2 linked regions of the Diceros bicornis minor genome follow. The main gene of each other region encodes a partner of the protein of the gene in region 2 in a complex. Links are inferred from orthologs where the notes say so. Each region holds a gene or a part of one and is shown on either strand. Other genes may lie near its edges. The genes, in order: SLPI and ELANE.

Evidence for each region.
Region 1: the proteins of ELANE (region 2) and SLPI are in contact, whole or in part, in a crystal structure (PDB 2Z7F), measured with the Homo sapiens proteins. The link is inferred for Diceros bicornis minor from reciprocal best matches to the Homo sapiens genes ELANE and SLPI. Residues at the interface, in NP_001963.1 of Homo sapiens: His53, Phe54, Cys55, His70, Cys71, Asn74, Val75, Pro111, Val112, Asn113, Leu114, Leu158, Ile165, Leu180, Arg182, Val197, Cys198, Phe199, Gly200, Asp201, Ser202, Ala216, Ser217, Phe218, Val219, Arg220, Gly221; in NP_003055.1 of Homo sapiens: Tyr93, Gly94, Gln95, Cys96, Leu97, Met98, Leu99, Pro102, Phe104, Met121, Cys122.

Annotation. Positions count from the first base shown.
Region 1 is NC_080758.1:15,991,448-16,001,400, forward strand, and holds SLPI (antileukoproteinase), read left to right. Parts: upstream 1-3,906; 5' UTR 3,907-3,918; coding exon 3,919-4,000; intron 4,001-4,685; coding exon 4,686-4,844; intron 4,845-5,333; coding exon 5,334-5,483; intron 5,484-6,062; coding exon 6,063-6,067; 3' UTR 6,068-6,272; downstream 6,273-9,953.
Region 2 is NW_026691553.1:442,978-452,455, forward strand, and holds ELANE (neutrophil elastase), read left to right. Parts: upstream 1-3,683; 5' UTR 3,684-3,692; coding exon 3,693-3,759; intron 3,760-4,131; coding exon 4,132-4,285; intron 4,286-4,406; coding exon 4,407-4,548; intron 4,549-5,050; coding exon 5,051-5,281; intron 5,282-5,427; coding exon 5,428-5,604; downstream 5,605-9,478. Other genes in the region: myeloblastin-like, read left to right, coding at 454-626, 817-897, 2,210-2,390, 3,321-3,644; CFD (complement factor D), read left to right, coding at 7,912-7,969, 8,505-8,661, 8,761-8,905, 9,352-9,478. UniProt on the Homo sapiens protein: Serine protease that modifies the functions of natural killer cells, monocytes and granulocytes. Inhibits C5a-dependent neutrophil enzyme release and chemotaxis. Promotes cleavage of GSDMB, thereby inhibiting pyroptosis. Promotes blood coagulation.

The sequences.
Region 1 (9,953 bases), on a different chromosome or scaffold from region 2:
TCACATCTAAGAAATACCTTCACAGCAACATCTAGATTGGTATTTGGCCAAACAACAGAGCACCAGAACCTGGCCAAATTGGCACATAAAGTTAACCACCACAAAAGTCTATACTGTTTTAACACAAACAATAGAGACCCATGGCACTCTGAGTAATAACAGAGCTGCCACACTTTCTTGTGCTGGGAGATGCGAAACGAGTCACATCTAACAATAACAACATGAAGAGCTCGTTTCTGGACCCATAGAGGAAGAAATGGTGCCTGGATACTAAGAAGAAGCTTCATATGCTCTGGCTGGACAATAAGAAAATATGTTGGCACCTCTTCTCTACCATTATTCCAAATCGTCATGGATGAATCACTATATATATATATAAATCACATGGGCCCGTGAATTTTGTAATGTATTTTTTAACCAAATTGTTTGTATAGATACAGGCCCCAGAAAAATATTTGCCGGGGTCCCCATACAGCCTAGGAGCAAGAGGGGTCCAGACTCAAGCACTGGGCTGTAGTTGGAGCCTGACAGCTCCCTGTACGCCTAGTGTACAGTGTAGCCGACTGTAATGAGAACAGTGTCGGCCATCCTGACTGCAGCAGACACTGTGCTGAGGTCTTGCCAAATACTCCTCGCAACAACTGTGCGGCATAAAAGAAACCAATACTCCCATCTTACAGCTGAGGAAACTGAGGCTCAGAGAGGTTCAGCGAGCTTCTTCCAACCCAGATGACCCTGACTCTAAGTTTAGGTTCTTAACAGTCATGCGATATGGACTCCATGTATCTCCTTCATTGCAGCCTCAGGACCTAGCACAATACCTGGCATGCAGTAAGAACTCATTAAATAGTTTTTGTGTGAATGAATTGAATGACTGAATGAGTCTACGGTATTCAGTAGAAGGCAATGGAGGGCATGTGAAGTGGCTCAGTGAATCAATCTTGAGGTAAGATTGAGTTAGGAAGGGATGCGTCCACCACCAAACATGTTCTGGGGATCAGCACTGGAGTAACAAGTTTTGGAAGAGCCCAATCTTGTCTTGTGTAATTAACTCATTATGCAGCCTTGGGCTCATACCTTCTCCTGACAGCAGCAGTCTCATGCTGCAAGATGGAGGTTTGGTCTAGATCAAGAGTCAGCAAACATTTGCTGTGAAGGACCAGAGAGCAAATATTTTAGGCTTCCCTGTAAATAATTTAGGTCTCTGCTGCAATTACTAGACTCTGTGACTGTAGTGGGAAAGTAAGTAGCCACAGACAATACATAAACCAATGAATGTGCGCCATGTTCCAATAAAGCTTCGTTTAGAAAAATAGGCAGCTGTCCGGATTTGGTCCAGAGGCTGTAGTTTGCTGATCCCCGGTCTAGATGACCTCTGAGACCCCTAACAGTCTATGATTTAAAGATTTAGAACCAATTGTGTGTTGGACAGAAATGATCATACAATGTCATTATCCTCCTACGGTGCCCATGGCAGACATTGCTAACTGATCACAGGGCTCTTTTCTGATGAGAAAGGAGTTGGCCTTATCAATCAATCGCAGATAGAGAGCTCTGGCTGTAGCACTCTCTCTTTCTCTCTTTAAGAAGCAAATATTTAGAAAACTCCAGACCTGTCTTGAGTGTGACGTTGAAGAAGATAGGAAGAAACAGAGAGTGGGGGGTGTGGCAGCTTCTCCCACTCTCATCCTTGTGTGAGAAGAGTCAAGCTGCCCCCTGGGTGGTGTAAGTGAGACCCAAAATCCAGAACCTAAGCCAAGCTGTTTCACCTGACAGTGATGCTGCCCATTGGCAGAAGTCAGCCCCTCCGCCTCTCTCTTGCCCTCCTGAGCGCTCCAGCTGGTAGTGAATGCCCCTGGCTCCCACTCATTATCCAGCGTGTGCTAATTTTCTTCATTCTCTTTTCCCACCAAAATGTAAACCATCAAGTGACTTCTGCGTAGAGGGATCTGCTGCCTGTTGACTGTCTAGTTGGAGAATACTTTACAAATTAATTCATGTGGAGCCGTCACTGCTTGATAACGCCTGACTTGTTCAGGTGTATTTGAATTTTTACAAACTTTCACTTTGAGGAATGAGTGGGGAAATCCCAAACATCAAGAAGTCACATGATATTGAGGGAAGAGCTTGGGCTTTGCAGTTAGACAAGTTTGGGTTGAATTCTAGAGATAATGATCACTCTTTGGATAATTAGAAGCAATCTAGGCAGACTGGGTAGCACATAGAATAGGTTTAATATATGGCAGCCATAATTCTTTTATCACATGAAATCTGTAGGGGGTTTTGGGGTAGAAAGCATTCCTCTAATGTCCCAGATTACACAATACAGTCATGCACCACATGACGACATTTTGGTCAATGATGGACCACATATACAACAGCGGTCCCGTAAGATTAGTACCATATAGCCTAGGTGCATAGTAGGCTCTACCATCTAGGTTTTGTGCAAGTACACTCTATGATGTTTGCACAATGATGAAATCACCTAATGATGCATTTCTCAGAATGTATCCCCATCAGTAAGCAGCACGTGACCATGTAACTAAATGTTGATTACAGTGACCAGTGAGCAGCTTTGCCACTTTGTCACAGATTCATTCCAATTCTCTTCAGTTGTAAGGGATACAATTCATTTATTCTTTTCAGGGTCCTTTCACACTCTTAATATCACAACACCCGGGGCTGATTTGTCAGTATCATCCCATTTCACAGTTGGGAAAACTGAGCTCCAAAGAGATTTGCTGAGGGCAGAGCTCTTCTTTCTGCACATTTTATTTGACAATTGTTAATGAGCACTTTCCATGTCTCAGGCACAGAATAGGCCCGGGGATACAGTGGTGTGAGTATTTTTGGGAAATAAATATTTGCTGGTTGACTGATATGTTGTCTGATCTTTTGAGAAGGAAATTGCACTGACAATCAGGAGAGTTTCACAATCCCCAAGAGTCCAGGAATGTGAGAATTGGGGGTGCATTGCTCAAGGTCCCAGCTGAAAGGCCACGTCTCCCGTTTCAGCTCCAGATGTAAATAGTATCTATGGGGAATCAGAGTTGGCCACCTCAAAATATGTCTCTTTACCTTGATTATTTTCTCTGAAGGACATTTGACCTTCCCCCAAACTGCCTAAAAGGGATAGACTGGGAGGGTCCTTGTTAAGCCCATTCTTATCAAAGTTCTGTTTAAGGGAAATCTCCATTTGTAAAGATATCTCCCTCTCTGCACCAGGAAGAAGGAGGATGACCCTATCTCTAGAAACTCTTATCACTGTGCAAGGCGAGGACTTAAATCTGCATACTCTTGATTACTGTGCTTTCTGGTAATCTCCCATAGCTGACTTTCCCCAGCCCCAACATCCTCCTTTGTCTACCTGAATATGCTATTTAAGGTGAAAACCTCTGCTATTTGTCAAGAAACTCAGTTTCCCTGGTTTCTCCCATGTATACATATTATAAAGCTTTGTTTGATTTTCTCCTGCTATTTGGTCTCATGTCAATTTAATTTGTAGCCCAGCCAGAAAGGACCCAGAGTGGGTAGAACATAGTCTTCCTCCCCTTCACATCTTTGCAGTGACCTCTGCTCCCCCTCTCCACCTACAAGGCTAATGGTCCTGTGGCCCCCACCATGTTCAGGGTTCTGATGGACACCTGACATGACCTCCTTATCAGCCTGGTGATATCTTCCAGGCCAGCCTCTTCTATTTCTTCCCTGGCGTTTATTCTGTTGGTCTCACAGTCTCGCCTGGGACAGGAAAGAGCCACTGTCTCTGTGGTATCAGGACTAATGGTCTCTCCCTTAGCTTCCTGCCTATGCAATCACAGCTGGGAGGGGCCAAGGAAATTCTGGTGGGGCCACACCCACTAGTGAAAGTATAAATAGTGAGATTTGGCGTCGGCCATTAGAGCCACCCCTATCCCCACCATGAAGTTCAGCAGCCTCTCTCCCCTCGTGCTTCTTGCCCTGGGAACCCTGGCACCTTGGGCAGTGGAAGGTGCTAGAAATGGTGAGTTGGAGTCACCTTGGTACAATCTTGGCTGCAGGGTCAGACTTGGGGGCTCCTGGTGGTGTGGGGATATCCCCTTCTCTAGGCTCTGCCCTCTCAGCTTCATTTCAGGAGACCTCCCTGAGGGTGGGTTCATGTCCACCTGGGCTCCCAGGTCTCTGTGAGGGCTTGTGAGCATCTGGAATGCTTCTTTTACTCAGCCACTCTGTCAACCCAGGTCTCACTCCCTCTCTGTTCTTACCCCGCCCCTCCATTACCCTGTCTGTGACTCTCCAGTCCTCACTCTCTGACTCTCTGATTCTCCTTTGTTTCTCTCTGTTTCTGTCGTTTAGTCCCTGTTTTCCTGCCTCTGGCTCTAGCTCTCAAACTGTCATGCTGGTTCTATTCATCTTTGTTTATTTCTCTCCATCTCCATCACTCCCAGACCGCCTCTCTGCCTCTGTGAAGACTTGTTTTTCCCCGGGGGCAGGAAGCCTTGGCTGGGAGCCCTATGCCTTTTTCCAGAATCTGTGACTTCTCCTGCCCATGTGTTTAATCAAGCCTGTCACTCCTCATGGAGGTCAGACAGGAATTTCCCTTTGGACTGTGTGGACAGTCACCTGGGTAAGGGTCTCTCCTGGGAAGTGATGGTTTGTTCCCAAGTCATGATGGCTCCTTCCTGAACCCTTGACCTTCTCCTCAAAAGCTTCGAAAGCTGGAGCCTGCCCTCATATAATACCTGCCCAGTGCCTCAGATACGAGGAGCCCGAGTGCCAGAGTGATTGGCAGTGTCCAGGGAAGAAGAAATGTTGCCAGGATGTTTGTGGAATCAAATGCCTGGACCCCGTTAACATCTCGAGCCCAGGTGAGGAGGTGGGAGAGCGGATGGAGGGGAATGAGCCTGAGAACACAGCATCTACAGGGACAGGATTGGGTGATGGGGTCCTGCCAGGCCTCCTCCTTTCCAAGAATTGTTGAGCCAAGTTTGTCAGCTGGTCAGGAGTCATACTGTTCCAGACAGGAAGTTACTCACCTGGCTGCTGAAGCAGCCAGTCTGTCAGGAGGTCAATTTTTCAGGGAATAGTCATCTGGTCATTAGACAACCAGGCAGTTGGCAGCCACCCATCGAAACAGCACTGGACAACTGGTCACCTGCATTGGTGGGGGCCCTGATGTTAGAGGAGAGCCAGATCCTACCTTCAGGGGATACATAGGCCTCAGGAAGGAAGTGCTCGTCATGGGGATGGGGAGGAGGTGATTCTCTTTGCTCAGGCTGGGGCAGGGCCTGGGTCCAAGAAGCAGAGGGGTGGTGTGAAAGGTACAGGCCTCTGACCTGTGGCTCTACACTCACCAGTTGAGAAGAAGCCTGGGAAGTGTCCAGTGGTCTATGGCCAATGTCGGATGCTTAACCCCCTCAATTACTGTGAAACAGACAGCCAGTGCCTGGGTAACCTCAAGTGCTGCAGGGGCATGTGTGGGAAAGCCTGCATTTTCCCTGTGAGAGGTAAGGAGGGGCTGGGAAGACGGACCTCCCTGCCTCCAGCCCTCTCAGTCTCAACCCTCTGGAGGGCCGGGCATATGAGCAGGGGGTCTCCTGAGCCCTACCCCAAGCAGAGCCTCTGCCTGACCCCCTTGTCTTTCAAGAGCACTATTCCCCAAGCCCTAGGGCAAGGATTTCTATAGGATCACTCCTAGCTTTGATTCTGTTCCAGCCTCTCCAGTTGAGGACCCTTGACAAGTGACTCTTTGAGTCTCAGTTTCCTTGTCTGTAAAAGGGACACAGTGAAATTGAAAGTGCTTTGTGAAGCACTGTGTGCACTAAGTATTTATTATTATTTCCAGCATGTTGTCTTGGGTCAAAGCCCAAAGGATCAGTGGATTTTAAGAATAATCTAGCTCAATGCTCTGAGTTTAGAGTTTTATAGTAAAATTGAGACTTGAACTCAGTCTCCCGATACCAAGACTCTTTCAACGATACCACCCCCTTGCTGTTTTCTCTGGCTCGGGGGGGTCTCTTGGGGAAGCAGCTGGAGATGATTTGGCTGGTTCTGCACTGAAGCTCTGATCTGATTTTCTCTCACAGCCTGATTCCTGCCGTTTGGAAGAGGCTCTGGATCCCTACTCTGTGCGGTCCGAGAATTCCCTTTTTGCTCCCAGACCTGGATCCCTGGGGCACTTCACCGTGAAGACTTGGTTCTACCATCAATATCTCCTTTGGGGAAAGGCTGGGCACACAGTAGGCTTTCAGGAAATGCCTGTGGATTGGTGAATAAATAAATGAGCATATTTCTCTCTGTGCATCCTGCTTCTGTGGTTCACTAGGGGGTCCGAGGTGGGTGGGAGGTGACGAGGGAATGTCTGGATGTGAGGCCTCCCTCCTACAGATACGGAAGGGAAGGAAGAGGCTTAGGGGCTGGACAGACATGAATTTACATCACGAATCTGAAAACATTGGCTCGTGATTTTGGACAAGTGACTTTGTCTCCTAAATCTCAATTCTTTATCTGCAAAGTGGCAATAAAAATCACTTTCTTACAGTGTTTGGAGCTTTGGGGTATGCAACGTATGTGAAATAAATAACAATGTTACTGGGCCACAGCAGGTTCTCCAAAAATGGTGGATTCTTGCCTTCTGCGGTGATTTTGAGCCTCTTTCTTTTCTTCTCTCTCTCAAAACACTATTTCTTCTGTCTTAAAATAAATGTTGAGCAGAACAATGTGCACAAGTTATCAATCCCAAAGGAGGACCCCAAGCACTTCTGCCCACTGCATCTTGATATCAGAGTCTCCAAGGAAAGCACAACGCAGCCAAGGGCTGCATGGCACAATGCTTTACTTACACAGCAAAGAATCGGCTTCTGTGGAGGGCCTCGATCTCCCATGGCCAGTGAGTCTCTCCCGGCAGCTGAGGCAGGGCAATTTACCTACGTGCACCCCTCTCATGCCACAGTAGAAGGACTCCGTCCCCTCCCAGTAGAGGACAGATACAGCACTGGGGCTGGCCAGATGCCATATAGCGCACACACTACACAGAACAAAGGAGCTTACGTTGAGCTTGAAGCAAGGAAAGATCTTCACACACGAGGCGATAGGCCTGGCACAAGCTGTGTGGGTTCTTTATCTCTTGGTAAGTAAATATTTCAGGTCCAAGGCCCGTTCTTATGCAACTGAGTGGGGGATGCATGTACCAGACTGCCTTTCCCAACAATAAGAATATTGTCATGGTGGGTCACGGTTATGACGTGCTGTTGGCCAATACCACGTGAGGGTGATGCTCTTGACTCCATAGAGCAGGAAGAGTAACAAAAGCCAGACTCCTGGAACTGGGGACGAGCAGGGAAGCTTGCTTCACATTTCTCTGGGCTCTACAGACTCTAAAGGAAATAGAGAACATGATTAGATAATGATTAAAAAAAAGACAAAACAAAAAATTGTAATGTAATCATTTCCCGGAAGACTTCACTGGTCTAAGAAAATATTCCATGCCACTTTCAAGCAATGTTCCAAGAGCAGCAACTGGATGTATTAAATAAACCGTTTTGGAGAAGAGGTGAAAGAGGGGAAGCCATTTTATTTGTTTTATGAGTGTGGTAGCCACCCTCCAAGATGGCGCCCAGTGATCCTCGCCTCTTGGCATTCACACCCGTGTGTAGACCTCTCCCACATTTTTGCACGGTTGGTCTGTGTGACCAATAAAATATTGCATAGTGATAGATAGTTTTGTCCTTATGAGATTAGATGATAAAAAGATTGCAGCTTCCATTTTGGAAGTGCATGCTCTCTCCCACCACTTGCTCTGGCAGAACTCAGCTGCCATGTCACGAGGACACTCAGCCAGCTGTGGCGTGGCCCATAAGGTAAGGACCTAATATCTCAGGCCAACAGCCTGTGGGGAACTCAGGCCCACCAGCAAACACACAAGTGAGCTTGGCAGGAGATTTTTCAGTCCTAGATTTTTCACAGTCTAGTCTTGAAATGACTCAAGTCCCAGCAGAGAGCTTGATTATAACTTTGTGAGTGACCTCGAGCCAGAACCACCCAGCTCAGCTGCTCTCGAATTTCTGACCCTCAAACTGTGAGAGAATGTTTACGGTTTTAAGATGCTAAGTTTTGGGGCAATTTGTTATGCAGCAATAGATAACTAATGCAATGAGGTTAGCAAAACTTTGATGCTACAACCAAATATGGACAGTAGAAGAAAAGATAATTACAAACCAATGTTGTCTTCTCTGAACAAAGCTGGGAACATCCTAAATAAAATGTTAAAAATTAGAATTCTGTGAGGGTTTAAAATGCTTTCAGGAGAATTCAATGTGAATTCTTTATTGAAAATAAGAATAGAAAGGATAGAAATTAATCCAAAAAAAGAAAAAAGAAACCTACCTGAAACTCTAGCAAAACCTACATTAAGTTGAATTTTCAGAGGTATTGTCGCTCAAGTCAGAAAGAGAATAAGGATCACTGCTGTTTTTCAACAGTGTATGAAATACACAAAACTATGCAATAAGATGAGATAAAGGGATATAGCATTTCTACACATTATCTATAACCAATTAGAAATAGTAGAAGTAGACACAAACAATCAAAGAAACAAATCTTACAATATACCCAGAAATAAACCTAAAAATTATGCCGGACCTTAGTGGATTAGGAAAAAGAAGAATTTTATTGAAGGTCTAAAATAAGAACTGAAAAAATGGAGAAATAATTATTATATTTGGGAAGGCTCAATAAGGTAAAATTGCAACTCTTAAAAAACTATTTATAGGGGCTGGCCTGGTGGCGTAGCCATTAAGTTTGCGCACTCCGCTGCAGCGGCCCGAGTCCACAGGTTTGGACCCTGGGCGCACATTGACGCACCACTTGTCAAGCCACGCTGTGGCGGCGTTCCATATAAAGTAGAGGAAGATGGGCATAGATGTTAGCCCAGGGCCAATCTTCCTCAGCAAAAAAAAAAAAAAGAGAGAGAGAGGCGGATTGGCAACAGATGTTAGCTCAGGGCTGATCTTCCTCACAAAAAAAAAAAATTATTTATAAATTCAATATAATTGCAATAAAAACTCTAACATGATTTTTTAAAACAGCTTGACAAAGTGATCCTACAGTTAATATATTAGTATAAAGCTTACAGAAGAACCAAGAACATTTTTAGAAAGTACAAGAATGAAAGCTAGCCAGACCGGGTATCAAAAAAACATTATTAATTATATTAATTGTTAATTATAACAATTAATGTAGTATGATGTTGGCATAGGAATAAAAAAATAGTTTAATGGAATAGAACAGAATGTCTAGAAAGAAACCTGTGTATTTGTGGACCTTTTTTATATAAAAGGGAAGAATTTTTACAACTGGGTAGGGCAAAGCTCAAACTAGTAATGAAAGCAATTGGCTTTTTTTTAAGTTCACTCAGACAATTTTTATTGAGTTTAACAGTAGTCTTTAACATAGTGTATTAGTCAAGGTTCTCCAGAGAAACAGAACCAGTAGACTCGGTAGCATATTTATTTATATTTATTATGAGGAGTTTGTCCTGCCGTCCTGGAGGCTGAAAAGTCCCATAATCTGCCGTCTGCAAGCTGGAGACCCAGGAAAGTCGGTGGCGTAACACAGTTCAAATCGGAAGGTCTAAGAACCAGGGGAGCTGATGGGGTAAATTTCAGTCCCAGGCAGGAGAAAATGAGGTGCAACAGCTCAGCTGAAGCAGAGAGGCAGGAAAAAAGGTGCGAGTTCCACCTTCCTCCTCCGTTTGCTCTATTTGGGCCCTCCACACATTGGATGACGCCCACCCACATTGGGGAGAGCAATTTACTTTACTGAATGCACAGAGTCAAATGCTAATATCATCCAGAACATCCTCACAGACACACCCAGAGATAATGTTTAAATTTTTTTTAATTTATTTTATTTTTCCCCCAAAGCCCCAGTAGATAGTTGTATGTCATAGTTGCACATCCTTCTAGTTGCTGTATGTG
Region 2 (9,478 bases):
CAGCACCTCGGGGGACATCCGGGGGGACTTCCCGGAGGAGGGGGCTGCCCTGGAGCGCAGGGCAAAGGAGGCGGGCGGATCCGAATCCCACCCAGGGCAGCGGCCGGCCATGCCTTGGTCTCTCCATCCGGGAGGCGGGCTCACCAACGAGGGGCTCAGGTGCGTGGAGCAGCCTCAGCTCCCGCAGGCGCAGAGGGGGCGCAAACATCATAGCCGGCAGCCTCCAGGGGTCCGTCTCAGAAATCATCGGGAATCTGGACCCAGAATCCCGGGGTCTGGGTATACAGCAGGAGGCCAATAGATGCCCGCTCTCCTCCGGAGTGGCCTCATCTCTCTCCTGCCCATGCCTCTTAAAGAAAATTCCACGCTGGAGACATTTTACCCCTAAATGGTGCAGGGCGGCCCCCGGGCCCGCGTCCCTGTGACTGACGGGCCGGTCCCCGCCCTTCCCAGGGGGACTCGGGCGGCCCGCTGATCTGCGACGGCGTCCTCCAGGCCGTGGACTCCTTCGTGATCCAGGCCTGCGCCACCAGCCGGTACCCCGACTTCTTCGCCCGAGTCTCGCTCTACGTGGACTGGATCCGCTCCGTGCTCAGCAGCGTAGGGGGTGAAGGGGCCCCCGAGCCGTACCCTTCCACGGCCCGCCTGCTGAGGCCAGACGCCGAGCCCTGACGGGGGGCTCATCTGGGGGGTCCCCAGAACGCTGCTTCCTCCAGACGCCCCCCCCCTCCCATGGGGCTCTCGGGAGCCAGGCCCCCCCAGTGACCTCAATAAAAGTTGGAACTCCCCGTCCGCCTCCGTCTGTCCTTCCCGCAGGGCATGGGGAGCGGCCGAGGGTCCCCGGCTCCGAGTCCCCGAGCCCCAGGCTCAGGATGGGGGTGGAGCGGAGGCCCGGAGGTGGGGGGCCCAGGCCACAGTGGGGACGCCCACAGACGTGGGTTCTAGTCCAGCTGCCAGTGTGGCTCTGGGCAGGTTGCTGCCCACCTCTGCGCCTCGGTTTCCTCATCTGGAAGATGGAGTCACCCCAGACATGTGCCAAAATGTCGGGGGAGCCCCAGCCTGGCCCTTGGGGCTGGGGGGTGTCATGTGGCTCTGGTCTCCCAGCTTGGGGGCCACTTGAGGACCAGGCCATCGTCACATGGGGTGTCCAGGCCTCTGGGGCTCCTGGTCCAGTCACGGGCAGGCTGAAGGGCCATGAGGGAGGCTTCCTGGAGGAGGAGGCAACACCTGAGCTGACTGTCAGTGTGTGACTAGAACACAAAGAGAAGGGCCGCCAGGCAGGGCATGGCGAGTGCAAAGGCCCTGTGTTGGACGAGCTGGGGGGTGTCAGGAACAGCTCGGCGTGTGGTGTTGCTGGAATGGAGAGAGGCGAGGGGATAGGGGAGGAGAGCAGGTCAGGGAGGTGGTGGGGCCAGAGCACATGGGGCCACGGAGAGGCACTGGGGTGGGCCTGGAGGAGAGAGAAGAGGTAGAGGTCACTGGTCAGCCATGGAGAGGGCGAGCGGCCACAGGGATGAGGCAATCGAGGCTCAGAGAGAGGGGCCGACCCGCTCCCGGGGGCACACTGGAGTGGGAAGGCAGCTCATTCCTTATTGATTTACTCTGCCGCCACCTGGTGGCAGCGTACAAATGGGAGCGAGGGCGAGTCCTCCCAGACCTGCCCCGTTGTCCACTGGTCCACACCTCGACTGACCACCCCCGGGGAGGAGCTGCACCTGCTTTGGAGCAGCAGTGCCAGGAGCAGACATGGGACATGGCCGCCGATCCCGGGAAATGTAGCTGATGAGGATCAGGGGCTGCTGAGAGTCCTCACCTCTCCCAGGGGCCCGGGGCCGGGACGAGGTTTCTGTAAAGAGCCCAGAGGGACCTCCCGGTGCCCGGGGTTGGGGTCTGCGGGAGGGAACGTCAAGAGAGCCTGACAACGGGAACAGAGAGACCCAGACACCCAGCCCCGGGCGTCTCCTGTGGGTTCACGTGTGTGAACGGTGGTCAGAGGAACGTTCTGCGCCCCAACGATCAGACCCGGGGGGAGTTGAGGATCGGGGTCCCAGGGGCACCCGGTTGACTTGCCGAGGTCAGCGGGGGCTGCGGACACGTGGGGAGGACAAACCCACAGGAAGAATCAAAGGACGTTTCGGGGGACACGACTGGGGAGGCTCAGGGAGCGAGGGGCCCCCAAGGGCTCAGCATCCCCCTGGCCCATCCCCAGAGCCCTGATCACGAGTCAGAACTCTCCAGGGGTCCGGGTCCCCCAGGCAATCCCCGACCCCCGCTCTCCTGGGGGGTTAATGGTTGACACGCCCCAGCGCGGCGCCGGATCATCTAAGGACTTAACTCACCTCCGTTCACCGAATCCCCGAGACAATCCTGAGACGGAGCCGATTGTCACAGTGGGAAACCGAGGCACGGGTGGGGGGTTACGTCAGGGGCCTGAAAGGAGGCAGGGAGCGATCGGCCAGCCAGGATATGAACCCAGAGTCGACTCGCTTAACAGTCATGACACGGGGGAGCGTGGTATACAGGTGGTGCTCAGTAAATGCAGCTTTGGCTACATAAGGTGTCCTTTCTAAACCACATCCCCCAAAGACAGGGCCTCCTCCATTCCCCCACCCTCCCAACTAGAAACAGGGCTGTGTATACAGCAGGTGCTGACTAAGTGCTCAAAGGTAGCTTGAACGTGACCGGGTGGGGAGGTTAGCAGGGCTGGTCGATGTGTGTCTGACCAGGGGAGGGATGGGGAGGGGACACCGAGCGCCTGCCGTGTGCCCGGTCGTCCTCGCTGGAGAGATGTGGGGGGTCGTGCCCGTGGCCACACAAGGCGGGGACTCCAGCCCGGGCCGGGCTCCCGGCGCCCCTCCCTCCTGTTCCCGCAGAGGATCCGTTGGTTCCCTTCCGTGACCCTCGCTTCCAGCCGGGGGGACGTTGCTTCTTGCAACACCCAGTTCTTCCAGGCAGAAGCTCCCAGACGTGGGCGGAGACCCACGGTCCGGCCTCCAGGCCCAGACATCCTTTCTCCAGCACGTCCCCCCGACCCGGGTGGGAAGGGGTCCAGAGAGGCTGGTGGGGGGAGCCGATTGGGAGGGGTCCTTTCCCGGAACCTCCGCTGGGGACCCGAGACTGACCGGGCCCCCGGGGGGGAGTGAGCTCCCCGTCGCGAGCAGCAACCAAAGAGAGGCTGGACGGCCGGACCCCGAGAGGGAGAGGCCGTGGTGGGGAGCAGGGGCCACGTCCAGCTGTGAACTGTGGGGCCTGGGCTCAGAACCCTCTGCCCCCGCGTCACCCACTCATGGGCCCGCCATGCCTCCGTTTCCCCATCTCAGAGGGCCCAGCAGCCCCCGCCACCCCTGTGGAACGCCATCGTTGTGGTTATGAGGGTGCCCCGGGGAAACCGAGGCGGGGGGCCCAGCCGACGTCCCTGGGGCACTGACCCTGCAGATAAGCGTACCCCGCCTGGTATTTGGGACGGACTTGCACTAAAACCGGCGAATCCCACGTTCAGACGGAATGGCGCGTCCGAGATTGATCCGGACCCCCGGCCCCGGCTCACCTCCTCCCATGCTTCCTGCTGTCACCCCCTCGTCTCCACGTCCCCGGGGGGGACAGGAAGTGGGGCAACGGCAACGGCCTCGGCGTGGGGGCCATAAGAGGGGCCGGCGGGCACGGGGGGCAGAGACGCGGAGCCTCGCCCGACCATGACTGGCAGCCGCACACCCTCCAGCCCTGTACTCGCCCCCATCCTGCTGGCTGTGCTGCTGGGCGGTGAGTGGGGCGGCGTGTCCGTCTGTCTGTCCCTGGACGTCTCTTCCTGCCTCTCATGGGCCCCTCGTCCTCGTGGGGAGGTGACGGCTGGGATGAGGTGACATGTTTCCAGAGGAAGAGACTGAGGTTCTGAGTGGTGGGAGTCCAGAGCTGGGGTTTGAACCGGGGGGTCCCTGGGCGCCCTCTGGGGACTCCAAAGCCACGTTAAGCCCCAATCTAGCCGCACCCCGGCTGGGGGACCATGGCAGCCCCCTCTCTGCGTCTCTGTGCCTCAGTTTCCCCATCTGGGCAGTGAGCACAAAGAGCCTGGACCCCTTGGGGTCCTGGTGTGAGCCGGGTGGCTGACCGGCCCTGCCCCCCCGTGTGCCCCAGGCCCTGCACTGGCCTTGGAGATCGTGGGTGGCCAGCCGGCCCGGCCCCATGCGTGGCCCTTCATGGTGTCCCTGCAGCGGGGAAGCCACTTCTGCGGGGCCACCCTGATCGCCCGTGACTTCGTCCTGTCGGCCGCGCACTGCGTGAATGGCCGGTGAGTCCCCCGTATCCGCCCCGGCCCTCAGTGTCCCCGTCTGTCCTCGCTCCTCGAGGGGCGGGCTGACCCCCGACCCCGGGGCCGCCCGAGTCACCCCCTGTCCCCCCGTTGCCGGCAGCAACTTCCGGTCGGTGCAGGTGGTGCTGGGGGCCCACAACCTGCGGCGGCGCGAGCGCACCCGCCAGACATTCGGCGTCCGGAGGATCTTCGAGAACGGCTTCGACCCCACGACGCTGCAGAACGACATCGTGGTTCTCCAGGTGGGGGCCAGGGGCCGGGGGGTGGACAGGGGGACCCCAGCTGTCACAGGCACGTCGTCTCTCTGTGCCTCGGTCTCCCCTCTGTGACTCGGGGAGACAAACCCCGCCTGGCCGGGCCTCGGAGAGATTGTGAGAGACGACATCGGGAGCTCTGAGCAATAGTCAATCAACAAACGCCGTTATTCGTGCCCTGTCACAAGTCCCACATTCGGGCCAGCGGGAGACTCAAGGCAGAAACCCTCCCATCCCACTCTTCTGATTCTTCTCTGAGAATGTTCTAGAACGAGGGTTTTATTGGCCTCAGTGTTGCCCATGGTTTGTTTTATTGAGCACCTACTGTTTATAGCACCATTATTAAGCACCTCCTGTTTACAGCACTCAAGTCATGTCCGGGGCGCCCCGGGCCACTGTGGTTGCTGCCAATTACAGACAGGGAAACTGAGGCCGGGGAGGGGAGGGCCGTCGCCCGCGCCCCGTGTGACACTCACGTGCTCTGTCCCAGCTCGACGGGTTGGCCACCATCAATGCCAACGTGCAGGTGGCCCAGCTGCCCGCCCAGGGGCGCAGCCCCAGGAACGGGACGCAGTGCCTGGCCATGGGCTGGGGCCGGCTGGGCACCAATGGGCGGCTGCCCAGCATCCTGCAGCAGCTCAACGTGACGGTGGTGACCTCCCTGTGCCAACGCTCCAACGTGTGCACGCTGGTGCCGCGGCGCCGGGCCGGCATCTGCTTCGTGAGTGCCCCCCGCGTCCCCCACCCCGAGCCCCGCCCGGCCCCAGCAACCCGGCCAGCGGCCGGACCCCGGGAGGGACTGCCCGACCCCGAGCGGGGCGGGGCCCGGGCAGCGCAGCCTCCCACCCCGTCTGTCGGGCTCCGCAGGGCGACTCTGGCGGGCCGCTGGTCTGCGACGGGCTGGTCCAGGGCATCGACTCCTTCATCCGCGGAGGCTGCGGCTCTGGCTTCTACCCCGACGCCTTCGCCCCCGTCGCGCAGTTCGCCAGCTGGATCAACTCCATCCTCCGCCGCCACGGGGACCCTCTGAGCGGGGCCCGCTAGGAAGGGCGGCCCGGGTGCCCCTGCCTCGCCTGCCCCAGCCAGGCCCTTCCCACGCCGCGTCCCCGGGCACCTCGCCCAATAAAAACCCTCTCCCTTTTGTAGAACGTGTCTGGCTGTGTGTCGGTTGTGCCAGCGGGTGTGGAAAGTCGTCAGGGCACCTCTGGGGTATGCTGCCACCAGGTGGCGGCAAATGTGGGGCATTGACGTGAGAAGTCCCTTCCCCACCTCCTTCCACGAAAGGATTCGGGTTACCATTTCTGGATTCCCCCCCATAAAACCCACTTTCATGGGATCACACGAGTGTCGCCGGTGGTGATGACAAAGCACTGTGGCGGTGTTCGTTGAGTGCTCACGAGGTACGGGAATGTTCTGAGTCTTGGGGGGACCTCACTCCTCCAGCCCTCGAGGGGGGTCCTCTTGGAGCCCCCGCCTCACAGACAAGGGAGTGGGGGCGCAGAGAGGTGTGAAGCCGGGCCCGGGAGCCTGAGTTTGACGCCCAGCTCTGTGACTTTGGGCAACTCGCTCACTGTCTCTGAGCCTCGGTTTCACCGCCGTCTGGAAAGGGCACAGCCTGGGGTGGGGTCCTGGTGGCCTCGGCTGCACTGGGTGACGGGGACGAGCCACCCCCCACCCTGGACTTTTGCTCTGATGAGGGAAGAGGGGCAGAGCACGTTTCCCGAGGGAACCACGCCCCGATGGAACCAGCCCTGGGGGGGCCTGTGCCCCTCTTCTGCCTCCCTGGGCCGGGGCCACGGGCGGGACCATCTCCATCGTGCAGCTCGAAGGCTGATGGTGGCGGGGCCACCAAAGCAGAGACAAAAAACGAGAGAAGTGACTTCACATAACGCCCCCACGTGCCGCGAGTTTGAGGTGAATCTCCCCCTCCGTCCCTGCCCCGACCCCTCCCGCTGGAGCTCGTGGCCCGGGGCCCACCCGGGGTCTTTGCCTCATTCTGCCCCCTGTCCCCGCGGGCCGTCCGCCGACCCCCCTCTCCCGGGGCCAGCAGCTCAGAGCGGCCTCCGCTGCCCCGAGATGGCCTCCCCCACAGACCTTGGCGCCTGGCGGTCTCTCCACGTCAGCGGCATCTGGGGACACTCAGGGTTGTTTAGTGAACCGGCCGGTCTCGCTGGGTGGCCTCCAGGTTTTGTTGTAATTTCATAATTGTCCCCTCTTACATAACCCGGACTCCGCATCCCCACGGCTGTTTGTTCAGTTTCTGATTTTAACGAGGAAACGTGTTAGTTAGGAAATCACGTTTGCTGTGTTATTTTCTATTTTCCTCTGCGTGTATGAAATCGTCTGCCTGGAAGGGAAAAGAAATAGAGGGGAAAGTATCACGCACGGTTCCCACTGGGGACGTCGAGGTCCCCCGACCCTGCTGGTCCCAGCACCTTCCCCTGTAGGTTCCTGAGGGGTTGAGCCAGCATCCCCCCCTTACTGAGGGCTGTGTGAGCCGGGGTCCACTCATGAGAACCCGCCATCCCCTGCCCCCAGTGCCTGGTTTGGGAGGGGGTGTGCGGTCCAAGCTCGGCCAACTAGAGGTGGCCTTGAGACACTGGCTGGAGTGATGGGGAATTTGAGGAGGCCCACAGAGCCGCTAGGCTGAGTCTGGGGCCCCGGGGGACAGAGTAGGGGAGCCTGGTGAGGAGAAAAGCCATCAAGGAGGAAAGTAGAAACCAGAGGCAGAGACCTGACATTTTTTAGGTGCCTGGATCAAGCCACACCTGAAGGTGGACCCTGAACTTTCCATTTGAATTTCCTCATCTTCCCCGCTGCCCCCCTACACGACAACTTTCCAATACTGTTGTTGGGGTGTCAGGCCCCAGAGCCACAGCCACGGGGACAAGGGTGTCAGGCGACCTTTCTCCCACCCCCACCCGACCTCCTGTCCAAGTTGGAGGAGGAAGAAAACAAAGGGAGGAGCGAACGCATGAGGAAATGGTTGTTTATAAACTATGGCCTCTAGCTGCTGTTGCGAAACCTCAGGGCCCCCTGGGGAGCAGGGGCTGGGGGCTGGGGTGGGTCCGGCTCTGCCCCCTGCCCATCCTGAGGGTCTGCTCCCCACTCTGGGGCCAGCCCTGGGCCGGGTGCGCAGAGGCGGGAGGCATCCCCGGGGGCCAACGACTCTTGGCGCAAAGTCCCCCAGGAGAAAACCCGCAGGAGTGGGCGGGACACAAGGTTCCCCTTTCCCCTGCTGGGCCGCTGCCCCTCGGACCATGGGGCTTGTGGGAGCCGCCCGCCCCTCTCCGCTCTGATAAAAGCACCCCCGGGGCCCCGCCTGGGCCAGTGTGAGGCCACAGCGGCATCATGGCAGGCCACACCGGGCACCTGGCGGCTCTGGTCCTCCTGGGCGTGGCCCTATGTGGTGAGTGGACCTGGGATGGCAGGGATAGCCGGGGGGCCACCCGCCTGCAGGGTGGTCAGCCAGGGGTCCCCCTCTGCCAAACAAGACTGTCCCCCAGCCCCATTCGGTGGGCAGGAGGAGCGGCAGGGTCCATGAGAGCGGAAGGCTCTGAAAGTCAAGAAATTCTCAGAACCCTGATGCATGAGCATCCTGCACTCCCCCCCCCCACAACAAGGGTCTGAGGGTCTATGGTGGGAAACGGGGGTCCGGGGTGAAACCACGGCGGGAGGGTTGGGTTTGGTCACCCCACTCTTCTCCTGTTTAACTTGAAGCCCTTAGGGCGGTGTGTAGGGAGGGAATTGGCTCCAGACCCCACCACGCCCTATTGCCTCTGTCTCCTCTGGCACTCCTCCCTGGCCCCCAGATTTGAGACTGGGCGGGGGATCCCAGGGATGGAATTTCAGGTCTGAGGGCTGGGGCGGCCTGGGTGGGGAAGGGGCATCCGAGGGCTGGGCTGCAGTCACCCGGAAGCCCTCGCGCCCCCTGCCGCCCCCAGCGGCGCAGCCCCGCGGCCGGATCCTGCGCGGCCAGGAGGCCGAGGCGCACGCGCGGCCCTACATGGCGTCGGTGCAGGTGGCCGGCAAGCACGTGTGCGGGGGCTTCCTGGTGGCGGCGCAGTGGGTGCTGAGCGCCGCGCACTGCCTGGAGGACGCGTGAGTGCGGGCGCGCGGGAGTACAGGGTGGGGACCCGGTGCGGGTCCGGGGGGAGGGTGGATGGGGAGACCGGCTCTGACCCGCTTGGACTCCCCCAGGGCCGGCGGGAAGGTGCAGGTGCTCCTGGGCGCGCACTCCCTGTCGCAGCCCGAGCCCTCGAAGCGCCTGTACGACGTGCTCCGCGCGGTGCCGCACCCGGACAGCCGGCCGGACACCAACGACCACGACCTCCTCCTGCTGCAGGTGGGCCTGGCCCCGCCGCGGCGCCCCTTGCTGCCCCCGGGACCCCGGCCCGCCCGCCCCATCCCCCCGAGTCCAGCCGCGGTCCCTCCTGCTGCACTGGGGACCCCGGCCCCCCGCCCCATCCCCCCGAGTCTCACCGCGGTGCCTCCTGCTGTGCTGGGGACCCCGGCCACCCCCCCGCCCCATCCCCCCGAGTCCAGCCGCGGTCCCTCCTGCTGCACTGGGGACCCCGGCCCCCCGCCCCATCCCCCCGAGTCTCACCGCGGTCCCTCCTGCTGCACTGGGGACCCCGGCCACCCCCCCGCCCCATCCCCCCGAGTCTCACCGCGGTGCCTCCTGCTGTGCTGGGGCCCCCACCGCCCCATGCCCCCGAGTCTCACCGCGGTCCCTCCTGCTGCGCTGGGGCCCCCACCGCCCCCGGCCCTGACGCCGCCCCCCTCCCCCAGCTGTCTGAGGAGGCCGTGCTGGGCCCCGCGGTGCAGCCCCTGCGCTGGCAGCACGAGGACCGCGACGTGGCGGCCGGCACGCTCTGCGACGTGGCCGGCTGGGGCGTGGTCAGCCACACCGGCCGGC